2 linked regions of the Oryzias latipes genome follow. The protein of the gene in region 1 interacts with the protein of each later gene in a pairwise test. Links are inferred from orthologs where the notes say so. Each region holds a gene or a part of one and is shown in the gene's direction. Other genes may lie near its edges.

What was found.
Region 2: the proteins of txndc5 (region 1) and gmppb interact in a two-hybrid assay, tested with the Homo sapiens proteins (2 studies listed by BioGRID and IntAct). The two-hybrid records come from large-scale screens. The link is inferred for Oryzias latipes from reciprocal best matches to the Homo sapiens genes TXNDC5 and GMPPB.

What each region holds. Positions count from the first base shown.
Region 1 is NC_019878.2:12,663,784-12,668,214, reverse strand, and holds the start of txndc5 (thioredoxin domain-containing protein 5), read left to right. Parts: upstream 1-1,425; 5' UTR 1,426-1,490; coding exon 1,491-1,675; intron 1,676-3,000; coding exon 3,001-3,153; intron 3,154-3,631; coding exon 3,632-3,737; intron 3,738-3,810; coding exon 3,811-3,907; intron 3,908-4,431. UniProt on the Homo sapiens protein: Protein disulfide isomerase of the endoplasmic reticulum lumen involved in the formation of disulfide bonds in proteins. Can reduce insulin disulfide bonds.
Region 2 is NC_019863.2:32,747,492-32,751,937, forward strand, and holds the end of gmppb (mannose-1-phosphate guanyltransferase beta), read left to right. Parts: intron 1-79; coding exon 80-238; intron 239-329; coding exon 330-408; intron 409-1,999; coding exon 2,000-2,127; intron 2,128-2,205; coding exon 2,206-2,388; intron 2,389-2,461; coding exon 2,462-2,593; 3' UTR 2,594-3,799; downstream 3,800-4,446. UniProt on the Homo sapiens protein: Catalytic subunit of the GMPPA-GMPPB mannose-1-phosphate guanylyltransferase complex. Catalyzes the formation of GDP-mannose, an essential precursor of glycan moieties of glycoproteins and glycolipids. Can catalyze the reverse reaction in vitro.

The sequences.
Region 1 (4,431 bases):
TAGGAATAGATGGATGATTTTGAAGTGCTGTTGACATTACGCAAGGCTACAGCTGTGAGGCTATCCATTTTATCCAACATAATACGTGAGATGAATTTCTTCTCATATTAAAGGATCGTTTGAGGTGATGATGAGGAGGCACATCTGACTCATTTCTAACCATTAGTGTAGAACATTTTCATAAGTAAAACTGTGTGCTCACACACTTTTTAGACCAGAGTTCATTTTAATGAAATACGACATTAACTTATATGTATGTTTTAAATCTATGTATGATCAGAACTACCAGGTAATTTTTTTGAGAGACAACCTTCAGTATTCAGGAAAATTACTTTTGTTGCCAAGGTGGTGCAGTCAGTCCTGATCTACAAACCCTTTTATAATTAACTTAACACACTTTGAATGAGAAATGTCACCGTTATATGAAATGCAAAGCTAAAAAAAAGCCAGACTCTTAATGTTCACATTGTTAATTACAGCACTTTTAGATACAACAGTTAGCAATCAACACGCCATTACAACTTCATACACAGATCTATTCATTTTTAGGCAGATATTTTTTAAATAAAGGTTTTTCCGATATAAAATTTGTCATTTTTTTAATACAATAAACTAAGGTTGACTTCAGCAAATCAGCATTTGCGGACTAAAGATGACTTCAGCCCTTTACCCCAAATGGTTAAAATTCCAAAACTTTTGCTTTGCTGCAGTACTGATTGGACTTTTTTTTTATGTGTTTGTTTGTTTGTTTGTTTGTTTGTTTGTTTGTTTGTTTGTTTGTTTGTTTGTTTGTTTAGAAGATCCTTGCCAAATTATTCAATTGAAAAACATTTTAAACATACTGTATAACAAAGACCCAATGAGTGTGATTATTTAAATCCTTTTACATAGATAAACATTGTTAAGTGTTTTTAAATGAATTTCTCTACAGCAGCAAAAGGAATGACATAAGCCTTCATTTAATTTCAAGTTTAGTTGGGGGGGGGGGGGGGTGATTATCTGTCAAAGATGAGAGAGGCCTTTTTTATTTTTATATGTACGCTTCCACTGTGAGAGAGCTTGACGAGAAGAGATAAACTGTTGGAGCAATTATTGTATTAGAAAATGGAAGAAATACCAGATCACTGACATTCTCCCTCTACCTGGGGCTCCATGCAAGATCCACCCTTTACTTTCTACAAAATAAAAATAAAAATTTCAAATAAAAGTCCTTTCGAAGATGGTCAACAATTTATCTACTCTAGTTTTTCCAAAATTCCTTAAACTCTTTAATCTACTTGCTTTTTAATTTCTCTTGACATTGCAAACAGGTCATGACGCTTCCGCACTTTAACACCGATCTACAAAATATCTGGACCGTGCGCTGCCTCATTCCCGTCTAATCCCGTCACCTGCAGAGTCTATATTCCTCTGCTCTCTGACAGCAGAGGGGCGTGGCCTGGTGAAGTCGGTCTTTTCGGAGGGAGACCATTCACCCTACGAGACTCACTATGTTTTCAGCACTGCAACGCGTCCCAAGGATGCATTTGTTTCTTTATTTTTCGTTACTGTTCGCGGGTGTGCTTTGCGATACCGACGCAGAAGAAGAGGAGCATGCTAAGCACACGTACACGGTGGAGATGTTTAACGAGGCGGTGCCCACTGCACCCCACTTTGTCATGTTTTACGCTCCCTGGTAAGTAATTTGATGCATACCAAGTGATAGAAAAGTAAGATAAATGAAAATAGTATCGATAAAGTTGACCGTTTTTATCAGCAAATCCTGTGTGGGGAAGCGATTTCGTTGGGATTAAAACTCGCCGGCTTTTAGCAACTAAACTAGTTAGCATGTAAGCTAGTTGGCTATTCCTAAACCTTAGTAGAAACCGGTGCCTTAGTTTAGCTTAGCTGCTAAGAAGCTAGCTAGGTAGCAGATTCTCTGCTTTAAACAAATTATGTGAACCTTTAAGAGTTGCACACAGCTTTCAAGCCCTGAAGTTAATTTTCAAACGTAATTGCTCATCCCAAATGCTTTAAATCGTACAGTTAACAATTCTATTTCGTCCTTAAATTGTAAAAATCTGTGCTTACGTGGCACGAACCGATTGACTGAACTTGCATCACTAATTAAAAGCCCCCCAGGACCACCTTTGACAGTTTAATACAAAAAAGGAGTATACCCTAAATTCATAAATTCTTTTTCTTCATAACATACCTGGAAAGTTGCCAAAAAATAGTACAGAACTTGTTTGGCAAACCTAGAATGTGCAAACCTGCAAAAGCTCAAACGCCAATTGGGCCAATATGCTAGTCTACTACTTTTGATTTTTATCAATTCTACGACGCATGCACATTTTCTTTTAGAAAGCATCCTCTGGGGATCTTAGTCTGCCTGCAGATTAGTAGTGCAAGAAGTAGTTTTGCATATTTAAATGGAACCTTATTATCCACAGAAAGTAGATTGTTTCACCACAAATGTGCCTAGCTTGCTCACTTGGTCAGTGAACGATATGGCCTCTACAAGATTTATTTGATTCAAATTTCAGAAAATCAGTTTAAAAGATTATATATTGACAACATATTGATATATTAACAAAAAAATATCCAAACTCATGTTTTTCCAGGTCCAAAGAAATGGATGCTAACATCTTCAGGCTGAAATGAACTGATTCGCCTGTCAACAGTGCATTACATGTCTTTATTTTTTTAATATCTCTAAAAGAAAACTGTTTTAAAGACCTCTAACAACCATAACCTCATCTGAAATTGCACTTCTCTTTTTATATATTTAATTTACTCCTTTTTACTCATAATTATTATTGTTTATATATTTGCATATTTGCACCCTAACTTCCTTTTGTTTTGCACACTCATGTCTTGTTGTGCCTCTTAGTCTTAAGCTGCTCTAATTTTGTTACAATTTACTATTGTGATGACTATACAATGATTGTAAAAAGGAAAGATTAATGTCTATAGAGGTCATCTGCTTGAAACTTTGCCCACGTCTGCTGCTTTCTGCAGGTGCGGCCATTGCCAGAGGTTACAGCCGACATGGAATGAACTGGCTGAGAAATACAACAGTATGGACGAGCCACCGGTGTATGTGGTAAAAGTAGATTGTGTTCAGGACACCAAGTTCTGCTCCAACGTCCACGGCGTGAGAGGCTATCCCACGTAAGTAACAGAACCCCAAATAACTTTCAAAATGTTCAACTTTTGATCAGAAGTCTTTGTTTCTTTGTTTTTTTTTTCGAAGTATGGTACTGGGATTTGGGGTTTGGCCACTACTGTTTATAGTTAACTAGAAAAAAGAATATTTATATTTGCTTGTTCACATTCTTCACATGGCTATAACTGAGTGTTTTTCATAAATGGCTCAATTAAGCTTCTTAATGTTAGAATTTTGCATGTTTTTTGCTGATTAACAAATTGTTGACCTGCAGAGCTCAGTTTTAGTTAAAATGTAAACCCCAGCTTTGTCTTGGATGTTTCTGACTTAACTTATAATCATAGAAAATGATTGACAGAATGACTGTTTTTACTACGTTATGCTTTTGAGTTCACAAGTCTGGGAGGATAATTAACTCCTTCGCTAAGGTTCGCATAGAGATGACAGTATTTTCATAGTAAATGTGTTTGTTTTACTCTACAGGCTTTTGTTGTTTAAGCCAGATCAGGAAGCAGTGAAATACCAGGGTCCCAGAGACCTGCAGTCGTTGGAAACATGGATGCTCAAGACGCTCCAGGCGGAACCTTCAGTGAGTGTCGATGCCGTTCTCTAAAGGATTGATGATTTGGGTCCGCTCATGCCTGCATGTGTTTGCCCTCCAGGAACCAGAAAGTGAACTGGAGCCACCGAAAGCCCCGGAGCCCAAACAGGGCATGTATGAGCTCACTGCTCTCAACTTTAAGGAGCACATATCCAAAGGTAGCTGTCTTTAGTGCTTCATCATATGGGCATTTTTAAGCTGGTGAAGTTAGCGGCTGGTCCCAGTTTAGGGCAGTTGCATCCTGCTATAACATACTTTCAGTATTGTTTTAGTTTGAATGTTCTTTCGTTGCCTTGATTTGCATAACTGGCATTTCAACACTATTGGGAACACTGAAGACCTTCCAGTCTCTCAACTTATGTTTTTGATTCATCAGACAGTTACAAACGCAAACAGTACATGAAATATCTTTCTTAAAATGTAGGCTTCTGAGGTTCTTTCAATTTATTTTATTTGAATGAGAAATAAAGTGTGTGTTCAAAACAGTGGTTATAGTTCCCAATTTAACATACTGGCTAACCCTGTGCTAGATCTGGTGTTCTGTTACAACTCTTCACGTAAATCAAATTTTCATATTTAAGTTTAAACACTCTGGTGCAATTCTAGACATTGTTTATATCCTTCATCAATTTATTTTCTACTTTTAATCATCTGCTGGGTTTTTCCATTTCCATTTTGTTTT
Region 2 (4,446 bases), on another chromosome or scaffold:
CTCCTCAGATGTTTCAGATCTAAAGGTTTCCTCGCCGCTTCAATCCTCCAAAGTTCCTGACGCTCTTGCGTGTGTTCAGGTGACGCGGGTGGAGGAGCCGTCCAAATACGGCGTGGTGGTGTTTGAGGCGGAAAGCGGGAAGATCCATCGCTTCGTGGAGAAACCGCAGGTCTTTGTCTCCAATAAGATCAACGCCGGCATGTACATCTTCAATCCCAGCATGCTCAGCAGGATCCAGGTACGGGTGGCAGCGTCTTGTGGGTTTCCATAGCAGCAGGAAATGCAGTGCCGTCTGCAAATAACCGGGACTGCTTTCTCCGTCTGCGCAGCTGAGACCGACATCCATCGAGAAGGAAATATTCCCCGTCATGGCGGAGGAGAGCCAGCTGTACGCCATGGAGCTGCAGGGTAACTGTTCTGCACCACGCCGTTGCTATCCGCTCACCGACACCTGCTAAAGCTTTGGCTTCAGGAGGTCATGATGGTTCCTCAGGGTGTCCACCTGTCTGTCAGCTGATGGTTCAGGTGACACTTTTCTGATTGGTGGACATGTCAGTGACTCTGGTTAAAGAACTTTCTGCTCAGACTTTGACCAAATTCTGCGGTTTTACTGTGGTTCCAACTGAAGTTATTAGTTTTTACTTTTGCTCTAAAAAAAGTTAAATAATAGAAATAAAATAATAAAAAAATGAAAAATAACTGAAGCTTCCTTACACTGGTCCATCGTTTATCGCACTTAAAGTTTCTAAAATAACCGCCATAGAAGAAATGAGCATTCCTTTATTTTTGACTAATATTCTAGATGTTTTAAGCCTGTAAAGCTCCTCACTAAACACTTTTCTCTCTTCTCTCATTCAATTGGTCAGAAGAACCGTTTTTAACATCTTCTTCATAATTCTCATTTATTTTCATGATTTATTTTCTGTAGTCAAAGTTATTCAAGTTACAAACTGACCAATCAAATGCCTCAGTAAAAGTAGGAGGAGCCTGCTGGCCACACGTCCAACATTTCAAATGTTTGACAGGTTTTGTGTGGCCTGCTTTCAAGTGGAAGGGGCGTGGCCTTCCAACAGCCCCACTCCTGATTGATGAGTGGTTGCCATAGAAACCATGACTCAGACCAACTGGGACCAATCAGTGCTTCCTGAGGGAGTGGCGACTGAATTGACTTCATTTGGTTGGAGCTGGAAGTAAACCGTTTTGGGCTGATGACGTCACACTCGCTCAGTCCGGTTCTGTGATACAGGCGACGGTCGTGGTCACTCCCATCGGTTCGGCCGTTTTTCAGCAGACTCCTGGCCAGTAAAACCACGTGGAGGAGTGTTTTCTTGAAGTGACGTGGTCCTGCTCTGAGAACAGGAATGTCTTCCTCTAGAACCGCTTTAATGAAAGTTTGAGTGGATCTAGAGAAGAAAGGTTTTTCTGTCATTAAACATGTTCAGATGGTTTCTGTTTAGGATGAGTGTCATAAATGTTATCCAGAGATTTTGATGGCGTTGCTCTGGTCTCTGCAGCTCACGCCTCCGTCAGACGTAAGTGTTGGCTCTCTCCTCACATCCACTCTCCTGTAGTCGTGGTTTGTAGAGAAGCACCAACAGCCTTAGAACGGCGCCCAGCAGTCACTTCCTGCCCTGTCCTTCGTGTTCCGGCCCAAATGTCAGGCGGATCTGTTGGTGCTTCTCTGGACCCTCAGTGGAACAGGGACCAGAAGCAGCCAGATCCTAAGAACCTGGACTCCTGATTGGACCGTGCAGCTTTTGTTCCTGTGCTGTCACCCTTCCTTTCACCTCCTCCTGCTTGTCCTGGGCCGGGTCTCAGGGACAGAGGTCCTCACCTTCTCCCCCACCAAAGCTCCTCCAGTTCTGCCGGGGAGATGTTCACCTCAACCGGCTCCCCTCAGTGAGGAGGAGCAGCAGCTCTGCTCCCAGCTGCTCATGTAGAAGACACTTCTGTGATGGTGTTGGGGGTTGTTTCCATGGTAACCGGCCGTCCTCCGCAGGTTTCTGGATGGACATCGGTCAGCCCAAAGACTTCCTGACGGGGATGTGCATGTACCTGCAGTCGCTGAGGCAGCACGCTCCCGACAGGCTGCACACGGGACCCGGTTTCCTTGGCAACGTCTTGGTGGTGAGTCCCGCTCCATGTCGCTTCCCGGGAAACGAGTGCCTGTCGTCCATGGCGGTCTGCTCCCCTCCTCCCCCGCAGGACCCCTCCGCACAGATCGGACAGAACTGCACCATCGGGCCCAACGTCACCATCGGCGCCGGCGTGGTGGTGGAGGATGGCGTGAGGATAAAGCGCTGCACGGTGCTGAAGGGATCCAGAGTTCGATCGCACTCCTGGTTGGAGAGCTGCATTGTGGGATGGAGCTCCTCCGTGGGTCAGTGGGTGAGTACAGAGTCGGAGCCGTGGAACCGGAAGCTGAGCTGCAGTCTCACGGTGGGGGGGTCTGCGTCCTCAGGTGCGCATGGAGAACGTGACGGTGCTGGGGGAGGACGTCATTGTGAACGACGAGCTTTACCTGAACGGCGCCAACGTCCTGCCCCACAAGTCCATCAATGAGTCGGTCCCAGAGCCGCGCATCATCATGTAGCACCAGGAGGTTCTGTTTGGGCCGGACAGACACCCCAAGGGTGCCTCAGAGTGGGGGGGGGCGGGTGGAGGAGGAACTAAAAGCTCTTTTTTTTTCTGTTTGATTGTTTTGGACAAGTTCTGGCCCTGCTCAGCTGCTCAGAGAGCAGGACTGTTAGCTGAACGTCTGACCCCAGGTTCTGATCCAGACTGACGGACGGGGGCTGGAGCACTTGGTGGAGGGATAAATGGGGGGGGGGGTGTTTGGGGTAGACGGGGAAACGACAGTCACTTTCCATGTGTAGATTGAGTAGATCCTCAGTGGAGCTGCGCGTTTGGACCATGACCTTCAGAACCTCCATGGCCGTGGAGGCGGGAGGAGCCCGACGCGCAGAGTGGAGGATGCTGGGATTGTTTGTGTGCATATCTGAATGTGGATCCGCCTTCACTGTTCAGGGGCGGAGCTTAATAAATGTTGGGTTGAGCAGACGACAGGATGCAGCAGTTCTGTAGTCTGTTAGGCTGCATCTGTCTTCAGTCCTAAAAAGAAATGCCTTCAGAAGGACCCCCCCCCCCTGCTGAAAAACCAGGTTTTGTCTGGGGGGGGTTGTTTTATCCAGTCATTGTGTGTTACTGATCAATGGCAGACTCCTAAATGCTGCAGCTCCTTCTGGAGACTCGGTTTCCTCCTCAGAGACGAAGCTCTGCACTGAACCTCCTCCAGCTGGAATCCGTTTGACTGAAAGACTCACCACTGCAGATGCAGGCTGGCTTCTGCCATCACCTGCACACTCTGGTTTACTCTGGAACTAACCATTTCCCTCTGGAGTCTCTTTCTGTGGGCTTCAGGCTGTTTTCTGTGAAAGCTGCACGTTCCAGCTGGAAGCCTGGAAGGAGGTGTGACCTCCATCCAGGTGAGATCTTGGTGGCTGACGGTCCTCTCCAGCCATCATCCTGCATGATGTGAAAGGAAATGTTGGATCCGATGCTCCTCAGACCGACTTCCTCTCTGACATCATGAATTCTGTGATCGAATCATTTTCTCTGCTGAAACTTTCTGCATTCTTCGTTCAGGTGAAGGACGCGCGCGGCCCACCCGACACTAAAAACTGGTTTCTACGGTCTGCACTTTGTGAATGAGGCTGTTCAGAGCCATGTACTTCCTGTCTGAATGAAGATTGTTCATGAAATGAAGTTTTTTTTTCTAAAGAAGTTACTGACATCTGTTTATAGTCTTGTCTTTTTTATGTAAATGATTTTTCCTGAAGTTTCCCGGATGGTCTCAGGTTTAGTTTACAAGTATTTACATTACTTTTACACATTTTTACTCAATCATGTTTTCTAGAAAGACCATCACAAACACATTAGGCTGAGCCTGAATTGCAGTTTTACAATTTAACTTTTATTTCTATTTTTATTAAAGTCTTAAAACTCAGTTTTTATGTACAATTGGGGTTTTGCTATTTATTTTATTTGTTATTATGCAAAAATGAAGAGCAGAGCAGCAAGAATAAGCCAGCAGGAAAACATGACAACACAATGATTAGTACTTATCACTGTTGCATTTTCTGTTTGTAAATCTCCACCAGAAAAACATGAGCTCAGCCTTTGGCGGACTAATGTAGCTATAGACGCAGACAAAAACAACTCAAGTGAGATGGAAGTGATTTACCTGCTGGAGCAAAGCAGAGTGGTTCTCCGAACCACCTGAAAGGATTCTGTTCAGAACGATGCTGCCATCTACAGGCCACCGATAGAAATGCATCCAGCAAGGAGCTGCTTATCTGCGCATGCGTGAACAACAAACGTCTGATTGAGCCCGAAAACAATGTCCTGGCCGTGTGCCTCCAGAGGTCTGTGATGATGTTGAGTTCT